Linked DNA regions of Rhinolophus ferrumequinum. The protein of the gene in region 3 purifies or fractionates together with the protein of the main gene of each other region. This does not show direct contact. Links are inferred from orthologs where the notes say so. Each region holds a gene or a part of one and is shown on either strand. Other genes may lie near its edges. The genes, in order: PARD6G, PARD6B and LLGL2.

Evidence for each region.
Region 1: the proteins of LLGL2 (region 3) and PARD6G purify together in Homo sapiens (affinity purification with mass spectrometry; 4 studies listed by BioGRID and IntAct, counting the BioPlex papers as one, with this or other methods). This does not show direct contact. The link is inferred for Rhinolophus ferrumequinum from reciprocal best matches to the Homo sapiens genes LLGL2 and PARD6G.
Region 2: the proteins of LLGL2 (region 3) and PARD6B purify together in Homo sapiens (affinity purification with mass spectrometry; 7 studies listed by BioGRID and IntAct, counting the BioPlex papers as one, with this or other methods). This does not show direct contact. The link is inferred for Rhinolophus ferrumequinum from reciprocal best matches to the Homo sapiens genes LLGL2 and PARD6B.

The regions. Positions count from the first base shown.
Region 1 is NC_046302.1:60,467,359-60,477,102, forward strand, and holds the start of PARD6G (partitioning defective 6 homolog gamma), read right to left. Parts: upstream 3,904-9,744; 5' UTR 3,776-3,903; coding exon 3,704-3,775; intron 1-3,703. UniProt on the Homo sapiens protein: Adapter protein involved in asymmetrical cell division and cell polarization processes. May play a role in the formation of epithelial tight junctions. The PARD6-PARD3 complex links GTP-bound Rho small GTPases to atypical protein kinase C proteins.
Region 2 is NC_046306.1:8,979,413-8,989,993, forward strand, and holds the start of PARD6B (partitioning defective 6 homolog beta), read right to left. Parts: upstream 5,030-10,581; 5' UTR 4,701-5,029; coding exon 4,635-4,700; intron 129-4,634; coding exon 1-128. UniProt on the Homo sapiens protein: Adapter protein involved in asymmetrical cell division and cell polarization processes. Probably involved in formation of epithelial tight junctions.
Region 3 is NC_046304.1:50,462,248-50,472,417, reverse strand, and holds the start of LLGL2 (LLGL scribble cell polarity complex component 2), read right to left. Parts: upstream 4,245-10,170; 5' UTR 4,120-4,244; exon of another isoform or gene 4,110-4,119; intron 3,946-4,109; exon of another isoform or gene 3,729-3,945; intron 1-3,728. Other genes in the region: TSEN54 (tRNA-splicing endonuclease subunit Sen54), read right to left, coding at 5,333-5,483, 5,939-6,055, 6,389-6,449, 7,108-7,745, 7,946-8,044, 9,526-9,578. UniProt on the Homo sapiens protein: Part of a complex with GPSM2/LGN, PRKCI/aPKC and PARD6B/Par-6, which may ensure the correct organization and orientation of bipolar spindles for normal cell division.

The DNA.
Region 1 (9,744 bases), on a different chromosome or scaffold from region 3:
GGTATTCTTTATATACTTTGTATATTTATATAAAGAGTTAAATATAATGATGTTACTCACAGCATTGTTTATTATAGAGAAAATTGGAAATAACCCAAATGGGATATTGGTTAAATTCATTACGGTTTACACGTAAGATGGAATACTATGTAGTCATTTTAAAAATATGTTTTCTAAAAATATTTACAACAGAAGAAAACTACACTGTTTGCACTACACTGTTGAGTTGAAGGGGGAATGAGGGCCACAGAATAACACGCCTACTATATCTGACCCTGTTTCTGTAAAACAAAGACGAGAGCATGAAAAGGGTGCAGAGGACACGGGGCGGCCCTGCACAGTGGCTCACCTTTGGACAGGAGAATTACCTCCCTTTGCTCCTGAAATGGTTTCTAATACTTCTCCAAAGGACAATGTATTTGTTTAGAATCCAAACAAGCCTCCAATGTTATTTAAACAAAGCAGCAAAACCTACATTAAAACCTTCTATTAGTGCTATTCTCCCCCAAACACAATAGCCACAAACCCTGTGAGTGTAAACACGGTCCTGGGTCCCTGCTCTGAAAAATAATCCTGTGCCAGCACTGTGACAAGAGCCCTAAGATGAGGGAAACATAGAAACAGGGTCAGAGGACAGAGGAAGCTGGCCTGGGGAAGGCATGGGTGGGCTTTGCAGGAGAGGGTCGGCAGGACGGGAAAACTCTTAGACAAAGCATTTTGGGGTCAGCAAGGGACCGTGGATGAGACCTGTGTGGGACTGAACCCCCGGCCTGAAGCAGAGGGCGGGTCCGGGTGGAGCACACTGCTGAGATGAGAGGACTGCGTCCCTGTAGCTTTCAGGCCGCGCAGACGCTGGTGAGGTTGACCAGCCACTCATGTAGCTAAAGGCCGGCCAAATTCTCAGGGGCAATGTGTCACTTTCTATCTTCTCCTTAAATGACAAGTCGTCCCTAGTTATTCCACCCCTGCAGACCCTCCCCCAGCACTGGCTTTCCTTCCACCCTCTGGTGGGCCAAGACTGGCTCCCTTTGGTCTGAAACACGCTCCCCAGACATCTGCACAGCCCCTCCCTCCTACTGCAGGTCTCCCGGAGCAGAGGCTGAAGTCAAAGTAAATGGGGAAATGGTGGCCCTAATGTCAGAATTGGGATCGCAGCAAGTAAGGCAGAAACGTTTGGGGAAGTGTAAGAAGTGACATGATGGCAGAGAGAAACTAGGTCAAGATAATGTCCCCAAGGCTTTTTTGGAACTGACCAGCTGTCAGATGGCTGACACCAAACATTCTGGGAGAATCAGAGGTGATTTTCAGACCCACTGCTCTGAAATGCAGCAGAGCCCTGAGCCACCTGTAGCGGACACACACAGGTGAGTCACTTCTATGACTGTAGGTGCTGCACACTTTCACACCCATCATCCCATCTGGTCTTGGGAGGGAGCAGAACAGATAGATGCCCATTTCACAGATGAATAACCGAGGCTCGGAAAAGCTAAATGAAAAGTTGCCTGAAAGCTCACAAGGGTAGGGGTAGCAGAACCATCTGGACTCAGCCCCCTAGCACCATTTCCCTACATGCAAACCAATGTGTTATGGAGCTACACTTAGGTTAAACAAACACATCATTGTTGTAAAGTTTTGCATCCTGTATTTTGACAACAGAAGTAAAGGATCCCTGCAGAGATGGACTGCATGGGAGCAAATATTAGCTATTACAGGTTTCCAGGGAAGGGTGTTACCAAGGGAAGAGCCATGTGGACCCTCTGGATAGCTACTAAGGCAAGCCCATCCTCCAAAAGGGGCAGGGGCTGTAGAACCAAGCAGCCTAGCAAGCCCGGGACGGTGTGGCCCTTGCAGGGGTGGTCCCAAATTCAACTAAAACTCTGGCTCAGCTACTCAACCTCCAGGGGAGCATTCACAGCAAATGAACTTGATGCCAGGATCAGGGCGTCCTGAGACACCCCACTGGGCCACCAGCACACCGACAGCCCCCAGACCCCAAGGAGAGGCAAAGACAGGCTTACTCTCCAGCCCCCAGCGGCCTGCATGGGGCCATCCGTCCAGAGCTGCCCGATAAGGCCTGGGAGGGGCGTCTCCTCCATCTTTACCCCTGGAGTTGTGTGTCTGGTCAGGCAGCTGCACTGCAGCGGGAATGTGGCTACAACAACTGAGCGCATGCTGGAATCAGGTGGCCACTGTGACAGAAGCGCTCGTCTCTCAACAGTGCTGGTGGTTGCAGGAATGTGCATGCGACAAAAGTGGTGACCTCAGCACATGCCAACACGTCCACTAAGGTCCTGGGTCTGACACTGATGTCACCTTTGAGGAGTCTCTCTATTTTTTCCCACAACTGTCTGGGAATGTATGATCTTGAAATTTGTAAAAAGTGTAAAAGTTAGTCACCGCACGTGCTCAGTGGCTATTGTAGTGGACAAGGAGCTCTAAAAAGCCACATTCCCACAGAGCTAAAGAAACAGACAATTATTTAGGACTCCCACTCATGCCTGGCGGTTCTTCTCCCACACGACTCAGCAGGCCCATGTGATTTGGGGGGTGGGGCACTCCCGGGCTAAAGCGGGGGCGAGGGTCACAGAATTAGCACTGGGGGAACGGTGTGACCGTACTAGAAACTAGGGGTTCATAAAAAATCCGTGAGAGTGAAGATAAGAATGAAATCCTGCAACTCACTGCAGCTTCGATCCCCCGCCCGACACTGACACACACATACACACATACATATACACACACACACACACACACACACACACACACCCGGCGGATGCCTTGGAAGTCCTACAGCAGAGGCCCCCTACCCCACCCCCCACCCCGCCTTGCCGGAAAGGGCAGCGCAGGTACGGGGGCCGCTGCACTCATCTCCCCAGAGACACATCAGGGTACATACACCGTCTCCGCGCCTCCAGGATGCGCGCAGGTGGGATCAGAGCCCACCCTCCGGCCCCGCCCTCCCAGCACTTCGGCTGCTCCGCCTTGTTTTACCGCGAGCAGGGGGCGCAGAGAGAAAGGGAGGGCCGGCTCCAAGCAGCAGTCAGCCGAAGGCCCGAAGGGCCCCCCTCTCCAGGACCCAAACAACTGCAGCTTTTTATCTACCCGTGGGGTACCCCACAGAGACCCCTGCAGACAAAAGCGTCTGGGGCGAAGGAGCCGCCCCCGCAAAGAGCAGAAGCGCCAGATCCTATCAGCCAGTCACCCAAACGCGCACAGCTGCCCGCAAGTTCGGGCACGCTCGGGCCGGGCGCCGGCAGCGGGAGGAGCCGTCGGCCCAGCGCGCCCGGGGAGGCTGGGCCTGGGGCGCGCCGGGGGCCGGCTGCGGTCTTCCCCTCGCGGGTTCCGACGCTTCTCCGCAGGGGAGGCAACGCGGTCAGAGCCCTCCCCCGTCCCGGGCCCCCGAAGCCCCGCCACCGTGCGGCTTGCCGGGCGCTTCCCGCTCGTGGAACAAAAGAGCTGCTCCCGCTGAGGGTCCGAAACCCGCGCGGCCAGGCCGATGGCTCTGGCCCTCCGGGTGCCTTGGCCTCACCAGGTTGCGGGCTTTGTGTCCGCAGAGGGGCGGGAAAGACGTCCGGACCCTGCATCTCCCAGATGGCGCCCGCGCGCCTAACTTGTCGCGGACGCCGGTCGCCCCCGCACCGCCCCGAGCCCCGCGGGGCGCCCATTCATTCGCAGGGGGCGCAGACCGCCAGCCCCGGCTCACCTTGCTCTTGACTTCCACCGCGCTGCAGTCGTAGAAGCGCAGGGTCTGAGACTTGTGGAAACTCCGGTTCATGGTTCCGGCCCCGCTCACCCCGTCTTTGCCCTCGCCCCCCGCTCTAGGGACTGCAGAAAGACGCTGGGGGCGGCGCCCCCCGCCGCGGCCTCGGCCCCGGCCCGCGCTCCCCGGCCGCGGGGCTGCTCGGAGTGCGGCGGCCCGAGCTGGGCTGGCCGCGCGCCTCGGGGACTTCAGCGGCCGCGCGCGAGAGGAGCGGGGGACGCCGGCGCGCGCCGCCCCGAGAAGCCGCCGCCAATCCCCGCCCTGCGCACCGAGCACCCGCCCCCAGAGGACCCGCCCCGCGCCTCAAGGATCCGCCCCACGAGTACCTGCCCTCGAGCACCCGCAACACGAGCCCCAAGGACCGGCGCCTAGGAACCCCTCTCCCGGCGCCCCGAGGACCCTCCTCCAAACCCCGCCCCGCGCCCCGAGGACTCTCCCCCTTGTGCCCGCCCCGCAACCCCGAGGATCCGCCCCTTCTGCGCCGCGCCCCAAGGACGCGCTCCGCCCCGCCTCCGAGGACCCGCCCCCAGGCTGCCGCCAGTGGTAGGTGCGCGCTGTTGTCGGTGCAATCCTGAGCCTGGAAAACAAGCATCGCCCACCCGACCCAGGGCACCTCATTCCCACCGCCGTGCCCGCTCTCTCTCTCCAGTACTCGCCCCGCTACCCCAGCACGGCCGTTAAGGAGGCTGCTTTGGGCCGATTTTTGGATGACAGGGGAACCACACCTGTGTGTACTGGCTTCCAGGCGCTCGGTGGTCTGGGCGAAGTTCTGCAGGAGGCAGACTCCTAAGGCACAGGTCAAAGTAATAGGGGTAAGGAGAGGGTCAGAGCCCCTCTCGGCCTGTCTTCTGAGAAGGAAGACTTCTGCCCAGGCTCCTAGGAAAAGCGCATGCTCCGCGATAGATGGCATCAGTTGTTACTTATTATCTCAGAGAAAGTATACTATAAATAATTGCAATTTATAATTATAAATGTACTATAAATTCATTGTAAAAGAAATCCGGAGAATACAAAGAAATGAAATAAAAAAGTTAAACTACCTATAGTCACACTACTCAGCATTCAATTGTATTAACATTTTAGTACATTTTATGTTTATTCTTCTGCATAAGTATTTACATATTTTACAAAATCATGCTGTTTAATCAGTTTGGCAGCCTGCTCTTTTTAACTCATGTAAAGAACATTTTCATTAAGCGATTTTAGAAAATATGGTTTTCAAAAATTGCGTATATGAACACAGGCATGCTTTTCAACCATTCCATTATTGGATATTTAAAATGTTTCCAATGATTAGCTTTTATATAATACTGTGTTTCTTGAATTCATTTATTTCTCATGATTTCATTAGACTGGACTCCTAACTAAAAGTGGAATTACTAGGCCACAAAGTATGCATATCTCTAAGCCCTTTAGTACAGATTGCCCAATTGCATTACCAAAATTTAATTTTCACTTCATGTCACTAAATGTCCCCTTAAGTGCAGGATGCGGTCACAGCAGTCAGGTGCCCTCAGGAGAAACACCCTGCTGGGCTGGGGGCCAGACATGCAGACAGACTTCCCAAACAAGGCACATGTGAAGTAAGCAAGCAAACAAAACTGTCGAGAGATTCCCACAGAGGCAGGAAAACTATTCCAGACGGAAGGTTCAGCATGTCCACTGGTCTGAAAGCTAGGAATGACCTGGTGTATTAATTATCTATACAAAATTTAGTAAATTCCAGGCAGAATCAGAACATGTCCGAGAGATACCCACTGGGCAAGCTGAGAGCGAGCAAGCTGTGTCCAGAGCTGAGTTTCTCTCAAAAGGCCATTTCCTGAACAGAATGAGGCCCTGAGAAGAGTCCCAGGGTATTAGTGATGGCCGACAGTGGACATCCTTGTCCTGTGTGGGTCGGAGAGGCGTGGGGGCATGTTCCAGGTGGGCTGAGGGGCGGAGGGGAAACCAACATAATTCTAGGGTGGGGGTGCACCTACCAGCAAGCTCAGGGCTTGAAGAGTGGGAGGGAAAGCTAGAGAGAACAGAATTCCAGGCTTGACGGAATGAGATCGTTTCTGCCACGTTCATGGCACAGTGTGTCCAAGGCCCAGCAACCAACGTGGGCTCCACCTTGCACTCGTCAGGGCCCCCCCCAAGCCCCTGAAGTTGATTCTACACCTGAACATGACCCTGGGTTGTTCCTGGGCAGGTTGCTCCTTTTCCTGTTATCTGCCGCCCCGTCAGTTCTTGATCAGCTTGATCAGCAGCAGGAAAGCCTGGGAAAGTCGACCGTGTGCAGGTGGAGCCTGAGTTTCCAGCCAAGACTTGAACTGGATTCTTTAGGGCTTCAAGCCTGTGGGTGGGTCGTATATAGACAAAAACAACTGGCTGAGCTGAGCCTTCAGCTGGAAAAGCTTCTTCACAGTCCAGCCACATGACTGAAAAGCTCTCTACCGGTCCTCACACAGCCGTGAGTCCCCATGGGCGGGCTCCAGGTGGTGCGCACTCACCCAGTCACGTGCTGATTGCTGGAGCCAGCCGCCTCCGTGAGGTTTCAGATTCAAGTGAAGTAAATGTGGAGACTCACCAGAGGGGTTGTATGGCCTCTGTGAGTTCTGCAGGCATCCCACGAGGCATTTGGACGGGTCCGTCCCCTCACTGACCTCAGTATTTATTGGTAAACAGGCACCGCAGGGCTTCCCTTGCCTGTCTCAGGGCTACAGCCTGGCAACCGAAAGACACAGCAGCTGTGGCCCCACTTGGAAGTCGTTACAGTGCTCTGCCAGTTCCCAGTGTTTGAAGGGGGATGGGGGGGCAGGCGGTGCCCTCCCAGGGAGGGTGCCAGGAGTGAGTGCCCTGCCCTGAGGTGAACTAGCACAGCAGCCAGAGGCGTCCCTGCACTGCGTCCCGGTTGCAGAGCTGCGCAGTCACCACTACACAGGGCCTGCAGCAGGCTCCGACACAGAGAGGAAATAGGAGGGGAATGGGCCTAATCCTCTTCAAATCTTTGTCTTCAATTAGTCCATCCAGAAGTGGTGCCTGAGCCCCCCGGGATCAAAAAGGAAACATGTGATGTAATACAGAATTGTACACCTGAAATCTATGTAATTTTACTAACAATTGTTACCCCAATAAATAAATGGGGAAAAAAAAGGAAACATGTTATAGACCCAAGAAGATGTGTTTTCCCCAAAGCCCTTACAATTGTCAGAGTCTTAAATGGAAGCAGCAGTAGCTTTAAAATCTCAAAGTTCTAGGTACATGGGGACTAACTGCATTTTCTTCGTAAAGAATAGGGGGATTTAATAATGAAACCGAGATATTGTTTTCATGACCTGAATAAGAGAGAAGAAATGTCAACCTTATGTGAGTTGCTGAATCAGCAGATCTTGTTGATGACATTTCTGATAGAGAGGAGACATGACGGACAGGGGACTGTGATGGACAGGAGACATGACGGAGAGGAGACGTGACAGAGAGGAGATGTGACAGAGAGGAGACAGTGATGGAGAGGAGAGGAAGAGACTCCAGCGCCCCCCACACCCAGTGGCCTGGCTAGGAGGTAAGTCCTGTTTGCCTGGGCAGCGCAAGGGCTGGCCAGAGCCCAAATCTGTGCAGCAGGATAAGAGCAGGGGTTCCTAAACAGAACAATCTTACCCTCCATTCCCACGGGCACTTGGCAGTGTCTGGAGGATGTGCCAGTGGGCGGTGGAAGCCATGGATGCTGCTAACCGTACAACAGCCCCCACCACAAGGATGTCAGTCAGCAGTGCCAAGGGTCAGAGACCTGGGCCTGTGTCCATGCTGGCCTCCAGGAGACACTCAGGATCCCAGCCCACCTACACTCGAGCTTGGTCAAGTATAAGGACCTTGTTGTCCACTCTTGGTGGGTGACCTGGAGCCTTGGGCTCAGAAGTCAGGAAGGGAGGCTTTCGTTAGCTCCCTAACTTCCATGGGCTCAGAGCGGCCCCCCAGCACACCACCTCTTCCCCTCCGTGTCGTGGAGCAGGGTCTGAGAAGCCTGGGCACGGAGCTGCCAGCTTTAGTGCTAGCAGGCTTGGTGTTGGTGTTGCTGGTAAAGTGCACTGTGGTGTTTGGGGTAGAAAGTTCCAGTTATGCACAATTAATAAATTCCAAACAGCTACTGTATAGCATGATGCCTTTAGTGAACAATATTCTTTTGTACACTTGAGATTTGCTAAGAGGATAGATCTTATGGTGAGTGTTCTTACCACACACAAGTGATGATGACAGCACTAATAAAAAATAAATATGAAGACTGGGAGGAAACGTGTGGAGGTGATGGACACGTTTATGGCATAGATCCTGGTGATGGTTTCACAGGTGTACACTGATCTTCAAAATCATCAAGTTGCATATGTTAATTTTGTACAGTTTTTCTGTCAACCGTACCTCCATAAAGTGGTTTTAGAAAACTACAGTAAAATAGGAGAGAATACAGCCACCCAAAGCACTCAGCACACTGCCTGTCACAGCACATACACAACCAATGCGATCATGGTTTCACCTCAGCTCAGAAGACCAGGGAGGGGCTGTGCTGAGCACCGCCCTGAGGATGAAGCTGGCACAGGTGCCAGAGTCAGCAATCAGGGGACTGTGACTGTGTGGACAACAACAGGAGAACTTATTCTGCCACAAGAAGACTGTTTGCTAAACTCTTGATCCTTCCAGCCCATGGAGGTAGAGAAAGGACTAAGAAGGGGAGAGGGAGGGGGAGTGAGGGCCCATCACGTGTGGGGCAGGAGCCGACCTGCATCACCTCACTGACCTCACAGGCACCGGAGAGGGAGCCGTTATCCCCACCTGACAGGTGAGGAGACTGACTCTCCATGTCTTTATTTGAAGTCACACAGCTGGTACTTGGAGGAGACAGAAGCCAGCTCTGTGCCTGTCTGAGGCTCAGGCTCTTCCCCCATAAGGAAAGTGTCACCCCAGAGCCCAGTCTGAGCAGCCAGGAAGCTACTGTCAGTTGTGACCTCAGAGGAAGGGAACATGGGCAGAAGTGGAGCCGTGCTCTGGGCTGAGGAAGAAGAGATTTAAGTTTTTTTTTTTAATTGGGAAATATTGGGGAACAGTGTGTTTTTCCGGGGCCCATCAGCTCCAAGTCAAGTCGTTGTCCTTCAATCTAGTTGTGGAGGGCGCAGCTCAGCTCCCAGTCCAGTTGCCGTTTTCAATCTTAGTCGCAGGGGGCGCAGCCCACCATCCTATGCAGGAATTGAACCAGCAACCTTGCTGTTGAGAGCTTGAGCTTTAACCAACTGAGCCATCCAGACGCCCAAAAAAGAGATTTTAAAAGACCCCAGCAAAGGCAGGGCATAGCTGTGTGTGTGTGTGTTTGGGGTTGGGGGGGGGGGAGTCATTGTCACAGGGTTCTGGTGCTGCTTGTCCTCCTGTGAAGGGCCAGGTCACCACCTCCCTTCCCACCTGTCCCCGTCCCCGTCCCCGTCCCCATCTGCCGGCCCTGGTCCCAGCCCAAACCAGCCTGGGTGAGTGCCTGGCAACGCTGCACCATTATCTTATGTGCAGATTTTCCTCAATAGAATGACCAAGATTCCACCCAACACTACAAGGACTGTTTGGATCACTCTGTTTGTCCAGGACCCCGTGTGTGTGCAAGCTCTTCTGGCTCATGTTGGCCAATTTTGGCCTCAGGACTGCACTAGAATAAGTCTTCATTTTAATTACCTGTGAAATGGAGAGAATAATTGTGTCTGCCTCAATTGGAAAATAGGAGCAGTAGGTGAGGTGAGGTCTCTGAGGGCCTAAAACAGGATTTATCTCAAAGACAACGGAGTCCCAGCGGCCTGGATTCTCATGGTAATGCGGGTGGGCAGGGAGACGCTCTCTGCTGCCATCTCGTGTGCATGTAGGGAAAAAAACACTGTGAAGGTCACCAGGAAAAGTTATTCTCTGCTGCCATCTCGTGTGCATCTTGGGAATAACACCTGAGTGGAGGTCAGGATAAGCTCTTCTTTCCAAAG
Region 2 (10,581 bases), on a different chromosome or scaffold from region 3:
ATGTCTGCATAGCCCACTAAAACGTCAACATTGGGGATCTTATGAACATGTTGCAGTAATCCATAAAACTCCTCAAACTTTCCAGGTTTTGATCTTTCCAGTGAAAACCGACGAAATTCTGCTCCAAACTATAAATATAATAAACACATCAATTAAAAAAAAAAGTAACAGGACCGAATTTTAAAATGCATGCCATCGAAAAATTAAGAGGCATATCATTTCCCTTAATGAAGACGACAGCTCCAGTGACAGTCTCCTGCCAGAAACCTCATTCCCTGGCGATAAAACAGCGTTAAGAAAGGCACAGAAATGTGCCTTCTCACTGCCTCGTCTCTGAAGGGCGCCCCTTCAAGAGATGCAGGCTCCACTCAACCCCTGGGGTAGCCAGGCCTCCCTGGGGACTGTCCTGCACAGTGAGTGACTCAGCTCAAACCCTGTCTAGGGCTTGAATCTTGACAGCAGTGCTCTCCTCACTCAGGCCACAGGGTCACAAGATGTGCCCAAGTCTTTATTTCGACTGTTAGCAAAAAGCATCTAAGTTTCTTCCCCCATAAAAGAAATTACGATTTCACAGGAAGTGGCAAGAAGTAACAGAAACATATACAAAAAACTCTGAACTTCTTGGCATTTAAGGTATGACACAAATGGAAGTATATCATGTAAGAAATAGGTCTAGAGATAAGATGCATCTTCCCTATGTTAATACTGTAAAAAAGCTTTAATACATCAAATATATATCCTACAACTATCCAATTAATGCAAGAAGTGTTTATGTGCTTGGCACCGCGCTAGACCCTAGAGATTGAAAGGCTGAGGCATACACGAGTTCACCAATTAGTGGATAAAGAGAAAAATTACATCAGAGAGGTATTAAGGGATCACACAAACAGGGAGTACCAATATTTATCTTCCCAATTCTGCTTCTGAGGTCTGCTTCCCTACTCCAGAATCACAATTCTGCTCTCCAAATGTTAAATTATTAAAGTGGCTCTTATTCAACACTAAGGGCTGGCTTCACCTAGTCTGTAATAAACAGGATCTATCTGACTTACTTCGGGTCTAGCATGGCATTTCCCCCAATGTGGAAACCTACGAAAGGTTACTCAACCTGCCTCAAAAACGCGTACCAGCCACGTTTGGGAAATGCTACGTAACTATAATCACACTCTTAGGAATCAGTGGAGACCACACATTAAAAGCTCAGTTAACTCCTGTGGTTGATTAATAAAAAAAAAAAAAATTTTTTTTTTTTAGACAAATGTTTGCTGTGTTTGGCCACTGAACTCATTTTCCCTCTAAATATCTATTATCAGCACCACTAAGACAACCTTAAGCATCATGCAGAGAAAGTCCCTATCAGAATAATTTGAGGTTACAAATGTGTCAATTCATTTTCCCAAGGACCCTATGGGATATCTAGTGTCACAGCTTTGTCTGTAAGTTCATCGGCCTTGCTTATATCCATGCTACTCACCAGTTTTAAATTAAAATAAAAATTCACTAAAACTACCTCTTACCTCTAATAAATAATTAAAAGTTTCCAAAATACATTCCTGAATCATAAACATTAATATTTGTCAAGAAAATAAAGTGACTCATACCTAAAACTCTCAAAAAGTTTAGTCACACCTTCTCATTTCAAAGTAAATAAAAACTCAGGCACACCCTTCATATCAGTGAGCCTTATGATGTTATCAAAAGTCATAGTTTCTCCTCCATTTTCTTCATTCTGATATCACAACTTAAAGTTCTTAGTGCTGTCTGATTCATCCCAGGGTTTATCACCTCCCCTGATACACCAATGAGAGTAACACCTAATAAACAATTTAGGGCTTCAATGTTTTTCCCAAAGCTTTTGGATGAAAATTCTTTTGGATGAAAACATTTTTTTCTCTTGCTTAAATGTTATGATAAAAAACAATAGAAAACTGTATGGATTCAGTAGATGTGCCCTTTTGCAAATGTTAGCAGGAAAAACAAAGAGAGAAATTGTTATGCTTCTTGCATCAAAACAATAGGATTAAGAGAACTGTTTACTACATGAAGAAAAATACTAAAATAGAGATAAAATTAAGACTAATCAAGAACTATTCACTATGGGAACCATTTACAACTTTTTTAGCCTGATCTACTTTTTCCTGGCCACCCAGGATGTGAATAAACATCCCCTCCTATCTTCTGTTGGTACATTCTAGAAATGCAAACTTAATTTTAAAATTCTGCTTGTCCATGAATAATAATTAGGAAATGTACAGCTCAAAGGCTGTTCCAAGGTTATTAAAGGACACCACCTTGATCATTGATTAAGAACTTTCCCAACTCTGTAGCAACAGGAAGATAAATAAGTTACCAAAGAAAAGTCACAGGGTACCTGGTATCACAATTTAACTATAGCTACATTTGCATTATCCATTAATTTATTTATATCATTTTGCCCTTCCAGGAGCAAAGATAATAAAGTTGACTCTTTTCTATGCAGAAGAAAGAGATCCTGAAATGTGGATTTGCATATCACCTAGTTGTGGTTACACCCTAACCTCTTATGTAGTGATCAGTTTTGTAAAAAGCTGTGATATCACTAAAGCAATAAAAAAGGAAATATTGTTACAAACATCTATCCAAATATTTTTAAATGGTAAAAATGACAAGTGCCATTAAAAAATAAATGTATCACAATACATATCTGAAACACAAGGTGTCACAGACACACTAGAAAGAGTATCTATACTGTGCAGATTCATCGCCAGCTAGAACAATAGTGGGATGACACTTCGTTCCCTGCAGGTTCTCAGAATGCCTTGATTCTATTTAAGAGAGATGGTTCACTAACAGTACAGCATCGCAGGTCAAATATTTAACATATAGTTTAGACTAAGTATGGGAAAGATTCATAAGTCAGTTGACAGAAGGGCAGAAAGCCTGAAATTCCAGTCCCCAAGTGCTCAAGGTTTCCTAGTCTGAGAGATAAATTACTATTTGGTTGTATTTATCAGTGCACCTAGAATTCCTACTCATTTTCCCCTATGATTAAAAAAATTACTGACTTGCTACCAAGATTAGGACCACAGACTGAATTTTAAGATCATGCAATATCATAAATGTTTTTCTTTTCTTAACCTCAACTCCCACAAAACCAAACTAGATTTGTAACAGAAATGCCATGAGCAGGTTCAACCATTGGAGGAAAAGCTCTATTTTGAGTCATCTTAACCCTTAGTTCAAGTACTGTCACTTCAATTTGTTTTGGCAGGTCAATGGAGGACGCAAGGAAGAGCATATTCCTTAGCATCCCTTAAATTATTGCTCTAATTACATTTCTATTCTTATTAAACAGAATGGTTTCTGAAACTCGGGCCTACCCTGATACAAGTTAAGTCACAGATAACATTTTAAAGTGATGTTAAAAAAATGAATGTTGATATTCTTGATGTGATGATCTCAGTTATAACAACTTACAGAACTTTGCTTATCAACTCTAGATAATAAACACCATTCCACCCACAGGCTCCAGGGAGCTTTCCTTACCCACTTCACTCAAAATCACTCCTTGATTTTGCATTCTTAGTCGTCTTACATTCACTGATTTCATTATTTTTGAAGTTGGTATGCTTTTGCTTTTCTCCTATGCTTTTATGTACTTTGGTCTTCCCAACTCTTATTTTAAATGTTCTCAGGGCCCAGCCAGTGTCCTCTTTTGTATTCTAGAAAGCCTAAAAGTTCCTCTGTAAAACGGCTTTAAGGTTTTGTCTTCAAAGCAGAGCTTGGGGAAGTCATATTCTGTGTTCTCAGAGAATTAGACTAGATTATCTAAGCTCCTTTTGGCCCTTCAATTCATGAAAATCTTGCTGAAAACGTGGCTGCAGATCACCTTCAAATTCCAGCTCAACACCTCCTTTGGAGAGCATTCCCTCACTAATCCCTATAGACTACTCTACTCCTGCAATTTAGGAATTCAGTGGCTACCGACGTTTATTATCAGCAGATTGGCATACCGCTGGTCAAGAGTGAAAACACTTGATGTGAAAAGGTAGCATGATGGAATGAAAAGAGCATCGAGACTCAAACTGTAAAGTGCTCCTCCAACGAAAGGTGATAGTGCTAATTTCATAGATTAAATGCATACCAAAGTTAGCGCTAGGAAAACCCCTAGCAGGAAGCAAAGCTAACTTCCAAAGGGCTCTTTGGTTCACTGGGTTCTTTCTCTCTCGTTCACCACTCGATGAACCCCTGAACCACAGAAAGGGGTAATGTTGTGATCGCGGGTGTTCCAAACACCTTTTACTCACAGGCCAGGAGGAAGAATTCCCCCAAACCTTTAGACACCACGCTGCGCTCAAACGCCTCGGTTGTATCTTGGCCCCTACTCCCATCCTTGAACAGCAATGAGATTTAAAGAACCAGATAAAATGCTCCACTGGTCTTTTTCCTACCTGGGCCAGGAGCAGACACAAGGCCCCCACCTTTCTCCCCTCCCTTCTCAGCAAGTTTATTATCCACCGTCTCCTGCCTCCAAATCCCACTACCGCGCCTCCACCGTCCCAGGCTCCGGGGCAGCTCCTCAGGCCGCCCCCGTGCCTCCCCCGGGCCCCGGCCCCCATCGGACGGCCGCTCCGCCCAGCCCGGGCCCCGCGCACCTTGCTCTTCACCTCCATGGTGCCCAGGCAGCCGCTGCCCGCCCCGTGCCGGTGGCTGCGGTTCATGCTGAGGCCGGGCCCCGCGGCGGCCTCCTCCAGCCGGGCCGACCCCCGGGAGCGCGGGGAGCGAGTGCGCGGCCGGCGGGCTCCGGACGCGGCAGCGGCCCGGGGGCCTCCTCACAGGCACCTGCAGAGGGGCGGCAGCGGCTCGGGTGTCCGCGCAGAGATCCGCTCGGCTGACTCCTCACAGGGCGACACTGAGGGTCCGACTGGCGAAGCGGCGGGCGGGGACGTGACTCTCCCTCCGGGCCTCGGCGGCTGCCGCGACGGCGGAGGAGGAGGCGGAGGGGGCGGAGCAGAGGCGACAGGCGCCGCAGCCTCGCTCTCGGCCGCCTCCCCCGCGAGCCCGCGCGCGCGCGCACCCGGGGCGGGCGGGAGCCGCGGCGCGTGCGCGCGCTCACCTGCAGCCTCCGTGGAAGTCTCGGCGGCTCGCGCTCCGCCCACACCCAATAGGAAGCGCGCACCTGCGCCTGAGGCGCCAACCAATCGACACCCGTCTCGCACAGACCTTGGGCGGGCCGCCTCCTAGAAATTCCCGCCCACCACCGCGCGATTGGTCTCTCGCTGAGAGGGAGGGGCGGGATCACCTGAAGCTGTGGGCCTCTGTGACCGAGCAGGAGAGCTGGAAAGCGCATGCGCGGGCTCTGGGGTTTCCGCCCCGGGAAGGCCGGCCGGAAGCGCGAGCGCACCTGAAGATGAGCGGGAGCGGGTGAGCCTTTAGCGCACGCGCAGGCGCGCGGCTGGTTGCCCCGCTCCCGTCTGCGGCTCCAACCCGGCTTTGGGGGTTGGAGCGCGCGGCGGATCGCGTTGCCGAGGCTTCGTGGATGTGCTGGATTCCGCTGTCCTCCTCTCGGCTTCCACTTTGGGACGCTGCCGCCTGAAACAACGCCCATCCGCCACCCATTTGCATCGTTTAGGTGTCAGGCTGAGACTCTGTTTGCAAAATTCAAGTTTTCCCACTTCTACAACAGTTACTGAAAACCTAACCTCAGGGCTCTTCTGGCTTGGTTTTGTCGGTAGAGACTCTGCAGTCCGTCAGGTCCCAAGCGGTAGAGTAGGCGCCTGGAGGGAGGGAAAGTGGGCTGAGGTCCGATGGTTCCTCGCCGGCCCTGCCTCCCTGAGGATTTCTCCTAGACCGGCCCTGGTCCAGGGCTTCCTTTACTCCTTTTTTGTTTATTTTTAATTTCTAAAGTCTTCCTCTCCCTTCCTCCAGTCATTTCTTGGCCATTTGCGGTTTCCATCACTGACAGCCTCTGGATTGTGTTCACCAGTGACGAAACTGTGTCCCAGATAACAAAGGACTGAACCCTTCTCTCTAAATGCCCCAGAGCCGGGTTCTCCTCACAAGGACCCTGTTTAGCATTGGTCCTGTTGGGAAGGTGAGAAGGAGACCCCCGTAAGTCCCCCCACTCACCTGCAGAAGGGACTTCTCACCGTGGGTCTACTGCTCAGCAAAGAGCTGTTGAACACCCCTGTGAGCTGGGCCTGGGCCTGCGGGTGGGGTTTCTAAGCCGAGATGGCAGAGAAGAGCTGTTTAGGGGGCGTCATTCCACCTGAGTCCGTAGGGCCTTCCTCCCCTCATCTCAAACCCCTCCTAACACACTTCGCACACCTTCCCAACACCTGTAACAAGTTCCAGTTTTCCCATGTTTTTCTGTGAGTAATCCACCTCGGCCCTAGAATGAAAGCTCTAGAAGGCAGGGAATACATCTGCTTTGCTCACGGCCAGGCATGTAGCATGGTACCTCACTCCAGGCAGGTACTCAGATGTGTCTTCGCTGGGTGCTGGAGCTGAAGGAGTGTGGTTTCTCCATGCTAACTTTGCCCCACTTTCCCCCTAAGGGGTTCAAGTTATCAAATGCTCGTGGGAGAATTTAAGGTTTTCTGGCCCTTTTGCATGGCTACAGATGGAAAGGATACCATCCCAAGGTGAATAATAATAAGGCTGCCTTCTCCACCACCTGTTCAAAAGCACCTACTATGAGGAGTGATAAAAAAATTGGTGATTGTTTAAAAAAATGTATTACAGTAAAAGACATATTGACATTAATCCCTCTCAAAATACTCTCCCTCGCTTCAAACACACCCATCATTCTTGCCACTTTCTGAAGCAGTTCTGGACGTCCTCTTTCGTGAGTGTCTTTAGTTGTGCTGTCGCGGCTGCCTCGATGTCCTGAATCAATTAAAAATGTTAACTTTTCACGGTCATTTTTACTTTGGTGAGGAGCCAGATGCCACGATGCCAGATCCAGTGAATGAGGTGAACGAGGACACAGCGTAATGTTTTTATTTGACAGAAAGTGTTGTACCAGAAGTGATGTGTGACACAGAGCATTGTCATGATGGAGGATGAAGGAAAGACACAAAAGAGGACTTCCAGAACTGCTTCAGCAAGTGGCAACCACGATGAGATGTCTTTGAAGCGAGGGGGAGTATTTTGAGGGGTATTAATGGCGATGTGTCTTTTACTGTAATACATTTTTTAAAATGTAACCATATCTTTTCACCATATTTTTTTTATCATGCCTCATATGTGACTCAAGCTGAGCTGGGAATGAAGTGTGGTCCTGTGATGGGGTCAGCATGATGGTTTGGTCTCAAGACCCCCTTAATATGCTTAAAAATTATGGAAAGACCCCAAGTATTTTGTTTCTGTGTGTTGTGTCTTTCAATATTCATCATATTAGAATTAACACTGAGAAATGTTTAAAACACAAGCACACATTCCAGTAGTCAGCAGGGCGATGATATCATCAGATGTCTTGTCCCTTCTAGAAAACTCCATTGTAAACCTGTGAGGCAAGGAAGGTGAGAAGAGCAAGTGACATCTTCGTATTGTGAAAATAGCTGTGACTTTGAGAATCCCCTAAGAAGGTCCCAGGGACCCCACGCTGGTTAGAAAGAGTCACAACCTTGAAGGATCTCTATTCTCAGCTGTCACTCTCCTCTCCCCAGTTACCAGGGTCACACCCTGGGAGTGAGGGCCCCAGTTTTGTGTGAGCGATTGTTGAGTGGCTGAGCTTTATTACTATTATCAGTACTGATTTATCAGGCCCTTTTAAAAAGGAAGTTCGTGGGTGCCAACACACCTGCGTGGGCCCTGCATTCCTGGAGGTGTTGTCATATCCTCTCTGCCCTCCCCCGGGTGTGGCATCTCTCTTTACTTGGACTTTCCTTTCTAGAAGAAGGGAGGGCCAGGCCAGAGCTTCCTGGATCTCCTAAGTGGAATTTGCTCTGAGGCCTGCTTCACAAGTGCAGCCTGGGCTGTGTGAAGAAGGAATGTGCAAAATAGTTTGAATTTGATAAAGGTGCTGTGGAGGAGGGGCACCCTTTCATTCTGAGAACTGTTCTGGCCACAAGTTTGTTCGCAGGGCCTGAATTTCAACCTTTCTTGAGAAGCATGAAGCCCAGAGAAAAGCATAAAGCCGGGTTTATATTCCAGTTCCTTTGGTTTGAAGGCTGAATCCTAATCTCATTTCTCTCCATCATCCCTCCCCACCCCCAAATCCTCAAGCTAAAGCTGATCAAGACTGCACGTGTGGCATGAAAAGCTAGTCCCATGCCTGCGAGAATTCATACTCAGTGAGTTAGGGAGATAAGTAAGGTGAGTGTGTGACACGCACTCTATAAAATGATAGGTTCCCCAAAATCATTAGTTGGGAACTGGCTACCACTGATTATTACACCCACACGCTGTCAAATCTCTCCAGGCCATCTCCACCCTCTGAAAGAAGCTAGTGAGGGTTACATTTCTGCTTTATCCTCCTATTCACTACATTCTGTCTTTAAGTTCTTCTGCGACAGAACACACTGTTGCATTCGTCTGAAACCTCTCTCTCTTGGTGGGGTGAAAAGAGTTTGTAATTTTCCACAATTCGTTTTATTGATTCATGTCATGCATAATTATACTTTTTTCTTTCCTTCTTCCTCCAACTCTTAGGGAAAAAAAAAAGGTGGCAAGAAGTCATATATAATGGTGGTGAGATTTTTTTTTCAAGAAGTTTCTCTTGCCAGCTCTTTTTCTCCTTGATTGCTCAAGTTCCAGTTTTGATGGAGCTGGTTAATAATTCTTTCAGAAAGAGTTGAAGTGTATATTTATGAATCTCAGACTACTCACCAAAGCATTTTAAGCTCTTTAGCAGAGATGGAATTAAGTCACATGATCTGTTTTCTGGTTAAGAGCTTCTAACACTTGAGTACTTAGTGTGGGGGCGGGGTGGGGGTGCTCACAGCTCCAGAAACCAATGGATTATCTCCTGTAGGCTTTAAGAAGCAAGGTGCCCTTTCAGGTAAAAACCATCTTTGTGGGAAGCAGTATGTGCCAGGCACTGTGCATAAGCCCTGCCCTTGAAGAGTTTGCTTTCTGACCTTTTTCCTTTCCGGGACTCAATTTCTCCGTCTGTAAATGCAGGCACGGAAATGAGATCATCTCCACAATCCCTTCCAGCTCTCAACATTCTACGGTACCCGGGGGATAATGGAGATTGATCATTATTTCAACAATATCAGGGGTGAACGGGAATGAAAAGGGTAATCTTTCCTTCAGGGTCGACAGACAGGCTGCAGTCATCAGCTAAAATACTCCAGTTCCTAGGAGGTGTTGGTGAAGATGATAACTAACATCTATGAGGGTCCTACCAGGTGCCAGGAACTGTACGAAGCTTCTCCAAGGATTATCTTATGTACTTTTAAGTAGCAGCATGAAAGAGCTTTACATATGATCTTAAGTTTTTTTAAAAGTGAGAGGTGTTAATTTGAGCCCTTGCTCTGCTCCTTTGCTGGCTGAGTGACCTTGATCCTGCCCTCTTAACTGCTCAGAGCCTCTGATTCTTCCTCTGTAAAAGGAAATGGCAGTGCCCAGCTCATCACATTGTTGCTGGGATCAGATGAGAAACTGCATGAAACCATCAAGAGTGGTGCAAATACTCGTGGTTATCATTTAGCAAATAATATTGCTTATGAAAGCCTTGGAAAACAGTTCGTTGAAACAATACAGAAATAAATGTATAATAAACCCTTCGTTTTGTTTTCACACAGAGCAACCTTTTAATGGACATACTTTAGTTAGAGAGGACAAGAGGCAGCCTAGAGTAGTCGTTGGGAATATGATTCGAGCCAGATGCCTACATTCAAATCCTGCCTGTGACTTTTCTTAGCTGGATGACCTCGGGCAAGTTTTTAACTTTTCTGAGCCTTGGTTTCTGCATCTGTAAAATGAGGATAATAAGATAATTAATTGTCTCAATTCATGTACAAAGCACTTAGGATAGGGTCCAGCATAGGGTCAGGACTCCATAAGTGTACCTTTTATTGTCGTTATTACTAATTACTTTAAAAAAGACTTTTATTAGAATATAGCTAGCATACAACATTATATTAGTTTCAGGGGTACACAATAGTTATTCAACATTTATACACCTAAAGAAATGATCACCATGAGTAGTCCAGCAACCGTCTGACCCCGTACCATGTTATCACAAATTTATTGACTATATTCCCCATGCTGTACATTACATCCCCATGACTTATTTGTTTTATACCTGGAGATTTGAACCTCTTATTCCCCTTCAACTTCCCCCACCTTTTTAAAATTTTCAATTACAGTTGACATTCACTATTATTTTATATTAATTTCAGGTGTACAGCATAGTGGTTAGACATTTATATAATTTAAGTAGTGATCCCCCTGACTAGTCTAGTACTCACCTGGCACTATACATAGTTATTATAATACCATATTATTAACTATATTCCTTATGCTATACCCTACATCCCCGTGACTACTGTGTAACATCCAATTTGTACTTCTTAATCCTTTCCCCCTTTTCACCCTCCCACCCCAAATCCCCTACCCATCTGGCAACCATCGAAATGTTCTCTGTATCTA
Region 3 (10,170 bases):
AGCACAAGGAAAAGCAAAGCCATTGTGGGGACAAAGTGGACAACCTCCGTGGGGTGGGTGTGGGTAGGCCGCCTGCTCCTCCTGTCAGGCCCATTCCACAGCCTCCCACTGGCTTCGAAACTTGAACTGTTGTCCTAAGAGTTTCTAGAAGATGTCAGTTCCAGGAGAAAGGGGCTGAGCCTGTCCTGCCCATGATTGTATCCCCAGTGCTTAGTGCCCTGACACCTGGGAGACACTCAAATTGTATTTAGAGAACTTCCTCACCCCTGCGAGTCTGGGCTGGGGTGTGACCTTGTCGAGGCCTGCCCTGACCCCCTTTTAAAGCTGCAAGCTGCCTCCACCACGGGGGTCCTACCCCCTGCTTTAGTTGGTACTCTGTAGCTCATATCGCCTTTTAAGATGTTATTCCTTACCCGTATTTTCTGTACTCACGCTCCCCACCCTTTAGCATGAGAATCCTGTGATGACAGAGATCTTTGCTTTGTGTGAGGATTATGCCTGGTGTCTGAGCCACGCCACACACACAGAGGCACCAGTAAATACTTGTTGAGTGAATGAATGAACAGGTAGGGTTGAATGGGGATCAACCAGACTAAGGTCTTCTCCAGTTGGGAGCCACCAACCCCAGAGAACACTGGGTTGGGTCACCAGAGGGTCCCTCAGGGAACTTCTCCATCCTGCTCTTAAATCTCTGGCCAAGGCCATGGCCATGTGGACATCATGCCTGGCTTCCTGCTGGGGATACCTTTGTGGGCCCTGCCTCCGTCCAAGGCTCCAGGACACCCAGCTCCTCGGCAAAAAGAACCCAACAATATCATTAGCTACAAGAGTCAAACAGTTCTGTGCCCAGAGGTCCCTTTCATCAAACCCTGGGAACACTGAGTCAGGTATTTCGAGAGAAGGCTCCGGTCACTGCTGAATTCCTGAAGGGTAGAGTCAGGTCACTAGCAGCTTCCCTGTCCCCACGCCCAGAGGAGCCTCTCCTAGTTCAAGAATTCACTGTGGTTCCTGGGAAGAGGAAGGAGTGGAGTGACTCTTCAAAGGACCAGCTTCCTCTGGGAGGCAGGGTGGGGAGGGAAGGTCACCTCAAAGGAAGCTGGGCAAAGCCTCTTGGTGACAGGGCACAGGACGGAGGGTCTCCTGGGGAGGAGGGGCTGGAGAAGGGCTAGCAGAACCAGAGGCCCCAGTGGGGATGCCCTTCTCCTGCCCCTTACCCCACTTGTCCCTGCAAACTGCTCCTGGGCAAGGGAAGACAAATCTGCCACCCAGACCTGGCATGCCTTGACCCAGGAGGAACCCTGAGGGTGGTGTTGCCTGAGTGAGATAAGAAGGCCTCTCCAAGCTGACTACTCTGGATGAGGGCGTCCCAGAGGCCAGTGCTGCTCAAAGCAGCCAGCCCAGGAGCAGGGACCACCAGCCTCCCCACCCCCACTCAGGTGTCTCAGGAGCTACCTCTGACACATCTGGAAGGACCAGTAAGGCTGAGGAAGCCTTCAGGAAACCCGACATTACTCCTGGAGACTCCTGCCCAGGAATGGTCAATGTCTCCAGTGGGGTAGACAGGGGGTCACAGACTGACTGTAAAGGCTCCGAACTTTCCAGCTCCATGCATCACTTTCTCCTAGGGAGAGGGTCCTGGGGCCGAGAAGTCCTTCCCTAAATAAGGTTGAAAGAAAGCACTATGGAGTTCTCAGAAAATCTCCTAATGACAAGGAGCAGCGCAGGAATGTGCTCCCTCCCCCCATCCCCCAACAGGGTGCAGAATGTGTACAGTCAAGCCCTCCCCTGAGCAGAAAGCAGAACGGATTACATCGCCCCCGCCCCCAAAAGACCCTCAGCTGGGGTCTGGCCATCAGGCTTCACTCCTGGCTCTCCCAAGGAGCAGAATTACCAAGGGCCACTGGAACACAAGGTGAGGTTAAGAGAAGCCACTGCCCTTTACCTCTGTTCCTCTATTCCCATCCTCATTTTAAAAGTTCTGACCTCCAGAGGCTCTCAGAAATCATGACCCTCTCAGTTGGTTTCTGGACAGAGAAGCCCGATTCCCTCACAATCCATCAGGCATGTTCAAAAGGCCCAGACGTCTGCCCAAAGGCCCATAAGTGACCACGCTTGCTTTTTATGCTCTGCAGGGATGCTGAGAAGCAACCCCTCACCTGGTTCCAGCATGTGCCAAGCCACATGTGTTTGTAACATTTTTCATCTTGTCAACATTAGTGAAAAATAAGGCTGGCTGAGGCTTGGTAAGGTTAAGTGACTGAGCCAAGGTCGCAAGAAGAAAAATTGATCAGACACAATTCAAAAGTATACCTGAGAATCGAAGGACACTAAAACACTTAATGAACACTATGTCTGAGGAAAGACTGTGAGGCAAGAGGGAGAAGTTTTTCCCACTTATTTTATACTTTCTAAAAGGTCTCATCCCCCCAAACACTGTCCAGTGGTCCCCATTGAGACTGGCCCAGTCTAACTTCGGAAAAGAGGAGCCAGTCCTGGTCACAGCCCCCAGAGCCAGGTTTGAGTCCTGACTGCCATAGTGGACACTGTGCACAGATCAATTAAGGAAACAAAATCTGGATTCTCTGTCCATAAAATAAGAAAGTTGGACCATCTCGGAGGACCCTTTCTGGACTTCAGTTCACACAGACGCAACCTGTCTTCCTTAAAAGCATCTTCTGACCGTGGCTTTCCCTGTGCTGGGCCACAGCTCTTCTGTACTGCAGCTCTGTTCTTCCCACCTGGGGGTTTCCTGTCTCCCACATACACTCATTCCCTCTCAGCTCACTTCCTTGTTCAGAATCCCCTCTGCACCCTTGAGTTGTAAACTCTGCAGAGGACCCCTAGAGCCCAAGTTAAGACGCACTGCGTCTGGCTCAGGGATCCCCATGGAAGGGGCCTGAGTCTAAGCCCCACCCACCTCACCTGTCTCAGGTGAAAGCTTCAGGGGGTCACACAGGGCTCTCCTGGTTAGTCAGTTCTCCCCCAAGCCAAAGCTCAATGTGTCTACGAACGATCCAGCCGGAGCAAACCTTGAGCAAACTTTGCACACTTCCTTTGGCAAGGCAGAATTTTCCACTCCTAGCCAAGTCCCAACGTTCCACAGTGCAACCCCACCTCTGTCGTTGTGGAAAACAGACTAGGTCTCCGTACTGTCCCCTAGAGGTACCCAAAGCCGCCCGAGGCAGAGAAAGGCCCTAAGTCCCTCCCGCGGGCTTCCTGCGTCCGCGGATTACGAGACACAAAGGGCCGGTAGGAAGAGGGCCCAGATGGCAGGGACAGGGGCTAAGCCGCCGACGTAACACTCGCCGGCCGCCGCTGCCGGAGAGAGGACCATTGGAAACGCGCGTCGCCGGCCTCCCCCGCCAGGCACCTTGCACGTGGTGGGTCCCGGGGCCCGGGGACTCCGTCTCTGCTCGTGGTGACCCTCGCACCCAGCCGGGTGGGGCACCTGTTTCCCCACTCCCCAAAGCCAACACTACAGTGCAAACCCGAAACCTAAATTCTGTAATCGCGGGCGGATGAGGCAGAGAAAAGTTCCCAGTGGCACTTTCTACAGGTGTCTTTCTCCTAAACCGGCGGAGCGACTGGATCCAGGATAAGGCGGGCGGACCTGGGCGCAGCCCTCCGAGCCCCGCCCGGGGTCCCGGCCCTCCCCTGCCTCCCCACCCCAAGTGGCTGGTGCCCCGAGGGGGCGGGCCCGGATAGGTGGGCCCCGGCCCGCGCCTCACCTGGAACCCCAGGCCGGCCCCCGCCGAGGCCTCCGACTCCCTCGGCGCCAGCCGCTGGCTCTGCTCACTCCGCCGCCGGCCCACGGGTTGCTGGGCGGCCGTCTCCTTCCTGCTCACCTCCAGCGCGGCGAGCAGGAGGCGGAGCCGCCACTATTTACATAAAGGGCGAGCCGGCAAGGCCCGCAGAACCCCGAGCGCGGGGCCCCAGCGGCCCGGCCCCGCCTCAGTTCCGCCCCCCGCAGCCCTGCGCCGACGGGGCGTGAGCGCCCCCGCGGGGCGGGGACCGCCGTCCGGACCAATCCGCGGCCCCAGGCAGCTTGGGGCGGGGCCTAGGCCTGCGAGAATATGCACGAGGCGCTGCCGCCCCGCCCCCGGCCTCACCTGCGCGTACCTGGTCGGAGAACGGCTCGCCGCACCCAGTGTCCCGCCGCCTCCCGGAGGAAGAAATAGTTCCCGGAACTCGCCACGGCCCCGGGCCACCTCCAGGTCCGACTGCCCAGAGGAGCCGTCCCTCCACAACCCGGCCCGGAGCTGCTGAGGGCGGGGCATACCCCGGCCGGCTCTTCCTGAGAGCGCCCAATCCAATCAGAGGGTGACCAGCGGACACAGGACCAGGTTTCGAGACCTAAGAGCGAGGTGGCGTGGGGACTGGGGCGTCGCCGCGAGGCGCCTCCCCTCGAGGCGGGCCCCAAGCCTGGAACCCGCTTCTCCTAGTCCCTGCAGAGGTAGGCAGACGCCCGAGGCCCCGAGGGACACCAACAGCAACCAGAGTTTTTAGCACGAGGGAGGGGGTTAGAGCGACCAGAGGCGGGAGCGGAAGGGGCGCGGAGTCCAGGCCTGGGGCGCGAACGGCGCGCTCCCCCGCACAGCTCGCAGCGACTATGGCGCCTCTCAGCTGCCCTACCCAGATCCGCTGCCTTCAGGGAAGGGCTGCTGGACCGCTGGCCTCCCTCCGAGGACCCCTTTCAGAAAGCCAAGCTGACCAGAGGTCTGTGACTTCCCATCACCTCCGACGCAGGCCCCAGAAAGGTGCGGGGTTGTGTCCTGCCCTCCTGCGGGCTTCTTTTAGCTTTTGCACCGGAGAAAGCAGTGTTCTCTGAGGGTGGGCAAAGCAGGGGTGAGGTCCTGGGCGCCAGTTCCACCGACAACGGGTTGGGGGGGGTCTGCGCCCCCATATTGGGGCTGGGGGGCTTCTCCAGTATATCCAGCCACGGCAGAAAAGGGATCTATTTTTTAATGGCTTTGGCTTTATCGCATGAAGCAGGCACCTTCTCCTTTAAAGGCACAGAGTCCTCTCTTCTGGCCCACCGCGCTGGGTCTCTAAAATCTAGTGCTGAATTCCAAGGGGATCACTGCAAGGCGTCAGTCTTAGGCCGGGGGCTCTGAAGCGCTGCAACAGCCAAGTGTGTGTGTGTGGGGGGGGGGGGGCGGGGGCTCAACTTTGCTCTTCTGCAAGCATCAGACACCCAGGACCAAGGCCCAGACTAGCCCCTGCAGCTGCAGGGTGTAGGAGGCAGCTGAGATGGGCCCTGAAAGTAGACAGTCCAGGTCCCCAGCCCCCCCACCCCTTCCAACAGGCCCCAGGTCCTGCCAGAGCTGCACAGTCAGTGTTCCAAATCCCTGGGCAGTGTGAAGTCCCTGAAGCTGTAGAAGGAAATGTCGCCGTGATCCACCAGGGCAAAGATCAGAGGAACGTCCCCACTCTGGTAGGACAACTGCTTGAGAGTGCGGAGGTCTGGGACTGGCTCATCAAATCTGCAGGGACAAAGGTTAGACTGAGACCTGGACATCGCCTAACCCCAGGCTTTGCGACCCCAGCCCTCTGTGGCTCCCAGGGAAGGGAGACTGAGACAGGAGTTGGGAGTGCAAGAAGTCTGGCCCCTGGACTCTCCTGTCTGCAAACTGCATGGCTCTGATAAGTTCAAGAGAGACCCAGAGCCCTGGCTGAGTAAGGGGGCTAGGAAGAGTCAGGTTCTCCAAATGAGCCCAGAACAGGAGAGAGGCTACCTGCAAATGCCAGGAATGGGGCTGAGGACTGGGAAGCTTGGGTTCCACAGCACTAACTGGCTGTGTGGCCTCTTGTGGGTCACATAATCTCTCTGGGCCTCTGGATCCTCTCAGGGACTGACAATCTGTCGGGTGCTGTGAGGCCGTCCACTTGGTTCACATAACTGGCAGCAGCCTGGGGGCAGTGCTCGCTGGTCTCGTACCCACTAATGCACATCCGGGCATAGGGCTTGCCAGGGTTCTTCTTTTGGAACGTGGCCACAGCATCGGCCTGGTAAACATCAAAGCTGATTTCCAAGCCCCCAGACTTCTCCAGCAGCCTGAGGACAGAGTGAGAAACCTTAGGGAACTCTCCTGCTCCACCTTTTCTTTCCACGCCACCCTTTCCCTCTCCCCATTCCAGGAAGCAGCCTGTTCAGGGAAACTGAGGTCCTGCTGTGAGGTGTCGCTTGATGTGCAGGGGAGGCTCAGCTGCCCTGCTCAGAACCCTGGGGGGAAATCCACGCACTCCTCCCTCTCCCCTGGACACACATATTAGCCACGGTAGGGGTCCCTGGAACGACCCCTCAGCTTATACCCAACTTCAAATCCCAGCTGCCAACTCCTACTGGCAGCCAAAGTACTGTGGAGATGGGCACCACCTAGAAACTCACCGGGCACCTCCATCAGCAAGGTGTGTCGTCTGCAGCACCGAGATATGCTGAAGGGCTGCGGCTACAAGGACAGTGAAAACAAAGCGTTGGGGAGGGGAGTCCGTCATCTGTACTCCCTTGACATTCTCAGTTTGCCATCGTTAGGGGTCCCAGATTTAACAGCTTTTTGTTAGTATAGAGATTTACCATGTTGTTTATCCGTAACGTAACTGATCTGGGAGCCCTCGTCCAGTTCCTTATAATCTCCCATGTTCCCATAAGGGCTGGAAGTACTTCTGAATCTGTTACTGTCATTCTTGCTCTATTAGTCCCCTGTCCTTAACATGCAGGGCACACAGCAAGCTTTCCTTTTATTTGGTCTACGGATCACCTCCTTGTTCCCCTAACAGACTGGAGAGAACAGGGAGCACAGCAAGTTGGTGGCAGAGCTATCCCCACCCATCTGGTGTATGACATTAAGTAAGGATTTGTTCGGAGTTTTCATTGCTTTCCTGTCCTTTCCTTGGGCACTGACTCGCCATCTGTAAACCTTCCCACATGGGTCCTTTTGTCGCTTCCCAGGAAAACAGATTGCCCTGGTGGGTAATCCATGGGACAGCTCTCTCCTTCCCCATCTTTCTTAAGCTTTAATCGGTCTTGGGCAATCCGTGCCCCTTTCAAAGTCTTGTGATTCCTTAGCTGCCAGTGGCCTGTGGGGCTATGGCAGAGTGAGAGGGTACCTGGGGAGTCTGCCTGGCTGGGACTCAACAAGGGGGTGACAGTCTGGTCCCACAGGTGTGGGGGGCGGCTCTGGGTCTTCTGCAGGTGCCGCTTCTGCAGCAGCTGCTTGTACTCCCACCAGGTGGAGCAGCGCTGCACCTGGGCATCTGCATTTATGTCCTCCCAGAAGTGCTGGGCCTCTGCCTGTTGCTCCCGTTCCCGTCTGGAGAGCTTCTCCTTCCGCTGGTTCAGCTTCTGGCACCAGGACTCAGCATCTGTCTCCCGCCCTGCCACATTGGCCGGGAGCAGCTCTGGGGCTGGGGCAAGCAGGAGGGTGTGGCGGCCATCTGAAGCCAGGTTGGGGAAGGAGATCTGCTCAAAGTTCCAGCGTGGCTTACAAACCCCCTTGACCCCATTCTCTACTTTGCCGCTCTCCTGGCTGCACCCCACCCCCTCCCTGGCCATGCTGGGCTCTAGGGACCCAAGAAGCTGAAAGGGACCCGTTGGGCCCTCTATGGGGCTTGACTCCTGGGGTTTCTCCTCAGGGCATCGGATGTTCTGGTTGCTGGAAGGTGGGATGGAGGTTGCCAGGCTCTCAGGTGTCCCATCCACCCCCTGCAGGGGGTTCTCCAGGGCCTTGGGCTTCTTATTAATGGACCTGAGGGACATGGGGAGGAAATGCAGCACATCTGCTCCTGGCTAGTGAGGTGCATATGTCCTGTGGGTGCACTTCTGCCTCCTTGAGCCCTCAAGGGAGCTCCCCACGCCCAGCTCCTAAGCCTATGCTTTCTCCAAGGTCCCAAACACCAGCTCTGCCCCCCACAACTCCCTGGGGCGTGGCCAAGTGGGGAGCATTACCGAGAGCTGGAGCTCCTCTTCCTCTTGCCATTCCGATCCTCCAAGCACTGGGCCCTGCCGTCCAAGTTCAGCTGCCTCTCGTAAGGGGACAGGACGGAGCTGTGGGGTGAGAATGGGGCAAACAACAGATCCAGCTGCTCAGCCTGGTGCTCCTGGTGGGGTTTGTGAGGGGCTGGCCCAGCGGGCAAGTCAGTGGGCCAGGATCAGCCACACCCAAGGGCTAAGGCACCAGGCAGACCTGCCCACGGGGTACATCGGGACGGCCACAGGGGCCTGCCCATGCATCTCTGCCCAGGCCTCTGTGTGGCACCTGTGAACTGAGCTCCCTGGAAGCAGGGCTCCTGCAGAGCCAGAAGCAAATGATTCAACACTGGTGAGAAATATCAAGGACCAGAAAATGTAGAAAATAAAAATGAAAATAAAAACCCATGGATACCACTGTAACATTTTTGTTTCTTATAAACACCACAGTTTCTCTCCATATTTGGTTTTTCTAACAAGAATGACATACTGCTTTGTAGTCTTCTTGTTTTAGTTAATAATATATTATGGACATGGCGCCTTATCACTATAGCAGTCCTCCCCTGCCATGACTTTTTTTATGGCCCAAAGGCTGCACTGTCTGATGTGGCAGCCACTAGACAAGGAATTACTGAAGTTAAATCTATTAAAATAAAAATGAGAAACTCAGCTGTACAAGCCACATAGGAGTACACTGGACAGCTTAGACGTAGGACATTGTCATCACCACAGAAAGTTCTATTGGACAGTGCTGCTCGAAGGGACAAGCTAATTTGTGTGACTATGCCCTCCCTGTTGGACTCATAGTATGTTTCCAAGTTCACTGTTTTGTGTAAGCTCCCCACTAAACGCAAGTTATGTGGGGTAGTGATTTTGTTCTCTGCTGTTCCTCAGCAACAAGCACAGAGCCTGGCACCCAGTAAGTAATCAACAAATACTGTTGAATGAATGAACATTGTCACAGGTAAACGTATGCACACATCTATGACTATTCCCTTAGGATATATTCTACTTTCAGAAATTAAAGCTCTGTCCTAGAGCTTTGGTGACATCCTGGAAACTGCAAAGGCTGTACCTGTTTCCACTCCAAGTTTGAATGTCTCTGTGGCTCCGGGCAATGTTGGATTACTAAGGTGATGACCTTCAGAGGCCCCAGAAGGAAAGAACATCTGACCTCGCCAAAGGGATGTGAAACCCTACCAACTGTTAATTCCTTCACTCCTGCCTGCATTCGACAAATCTGCTGGCTCACTAAGTGCCTGGCCCTGTTGCGGTGCATTTCCATGCTCACAGTTAGCTGTGGGTGCTCAATCGTTATCTACGGAGTGAACAGGCTGAAGACGGGCCTCACTCTGATGACCCAGGAGAAGCTGAAATGACCCGATTGTCCCAACATGCCTCTCGGTAGATCATTTCCAGCAAAGGCCCACGGCCCGTGTCCTGAAAGCTGCAACTCCAGCCAAGGGCTCCAGGTTAGCAGAGGCCACTTTCCACTTTGGGGCTAGTCACCCAGATGCCAGGATGGGAACAAATGGGAGAGAAATAGGATAGGGATTTACCTTGGCTGGAATCGTCGAACCACATAGCCCAGTCTTTTCAGGTGGCTGAAGACCTCCAAAGAAAAAAAAAAAGGTCATACGTCCACTTGTGAAAACACGAAATAGTTTCTCAGGAAGAGAAGCCATTCCCCACACTCTTATTAATAAATGCCTTTCAGACTAAGGTCTCAGTATGGATTCCTGTCTCTTGCTTACCTTATTTTGGGCAGAAATGACATATAGCAGTTTCTTGATTTAAATGCAAATCCCAAAAAGCTGATAGCTGACGGGCCAGGAAAAGAACTATGTCCTAAAATATTTGGATACCAAAGCTGATGAGCGTGAAGCTCCTGATTACAATGTGGACAAGACAATGGCAGAAGGTGGTGGACATCCCCGCCCCTCCATTGACAGGGGTGGGGTGGGAGTGGTCTTTGGTAAAGAGCCACGTGTTCATCCTCCTGTCTCCATATCAGTATCAGAAATGTATGCCAGAATGTCCCCTATCTTGCTTGATCTTCAGCAGTCTTCAACATAGCTGACCACTTGTTCCTTGAAAAAAATCCCTTGGCTTCTGTGATGTCGCCTCTCCAGGTTTTTCTCTTGCATTGCTGGACACTCCTCCGTCTGTTTCTGGTCTCATCTTTCCCCCGGACCTCCACATGT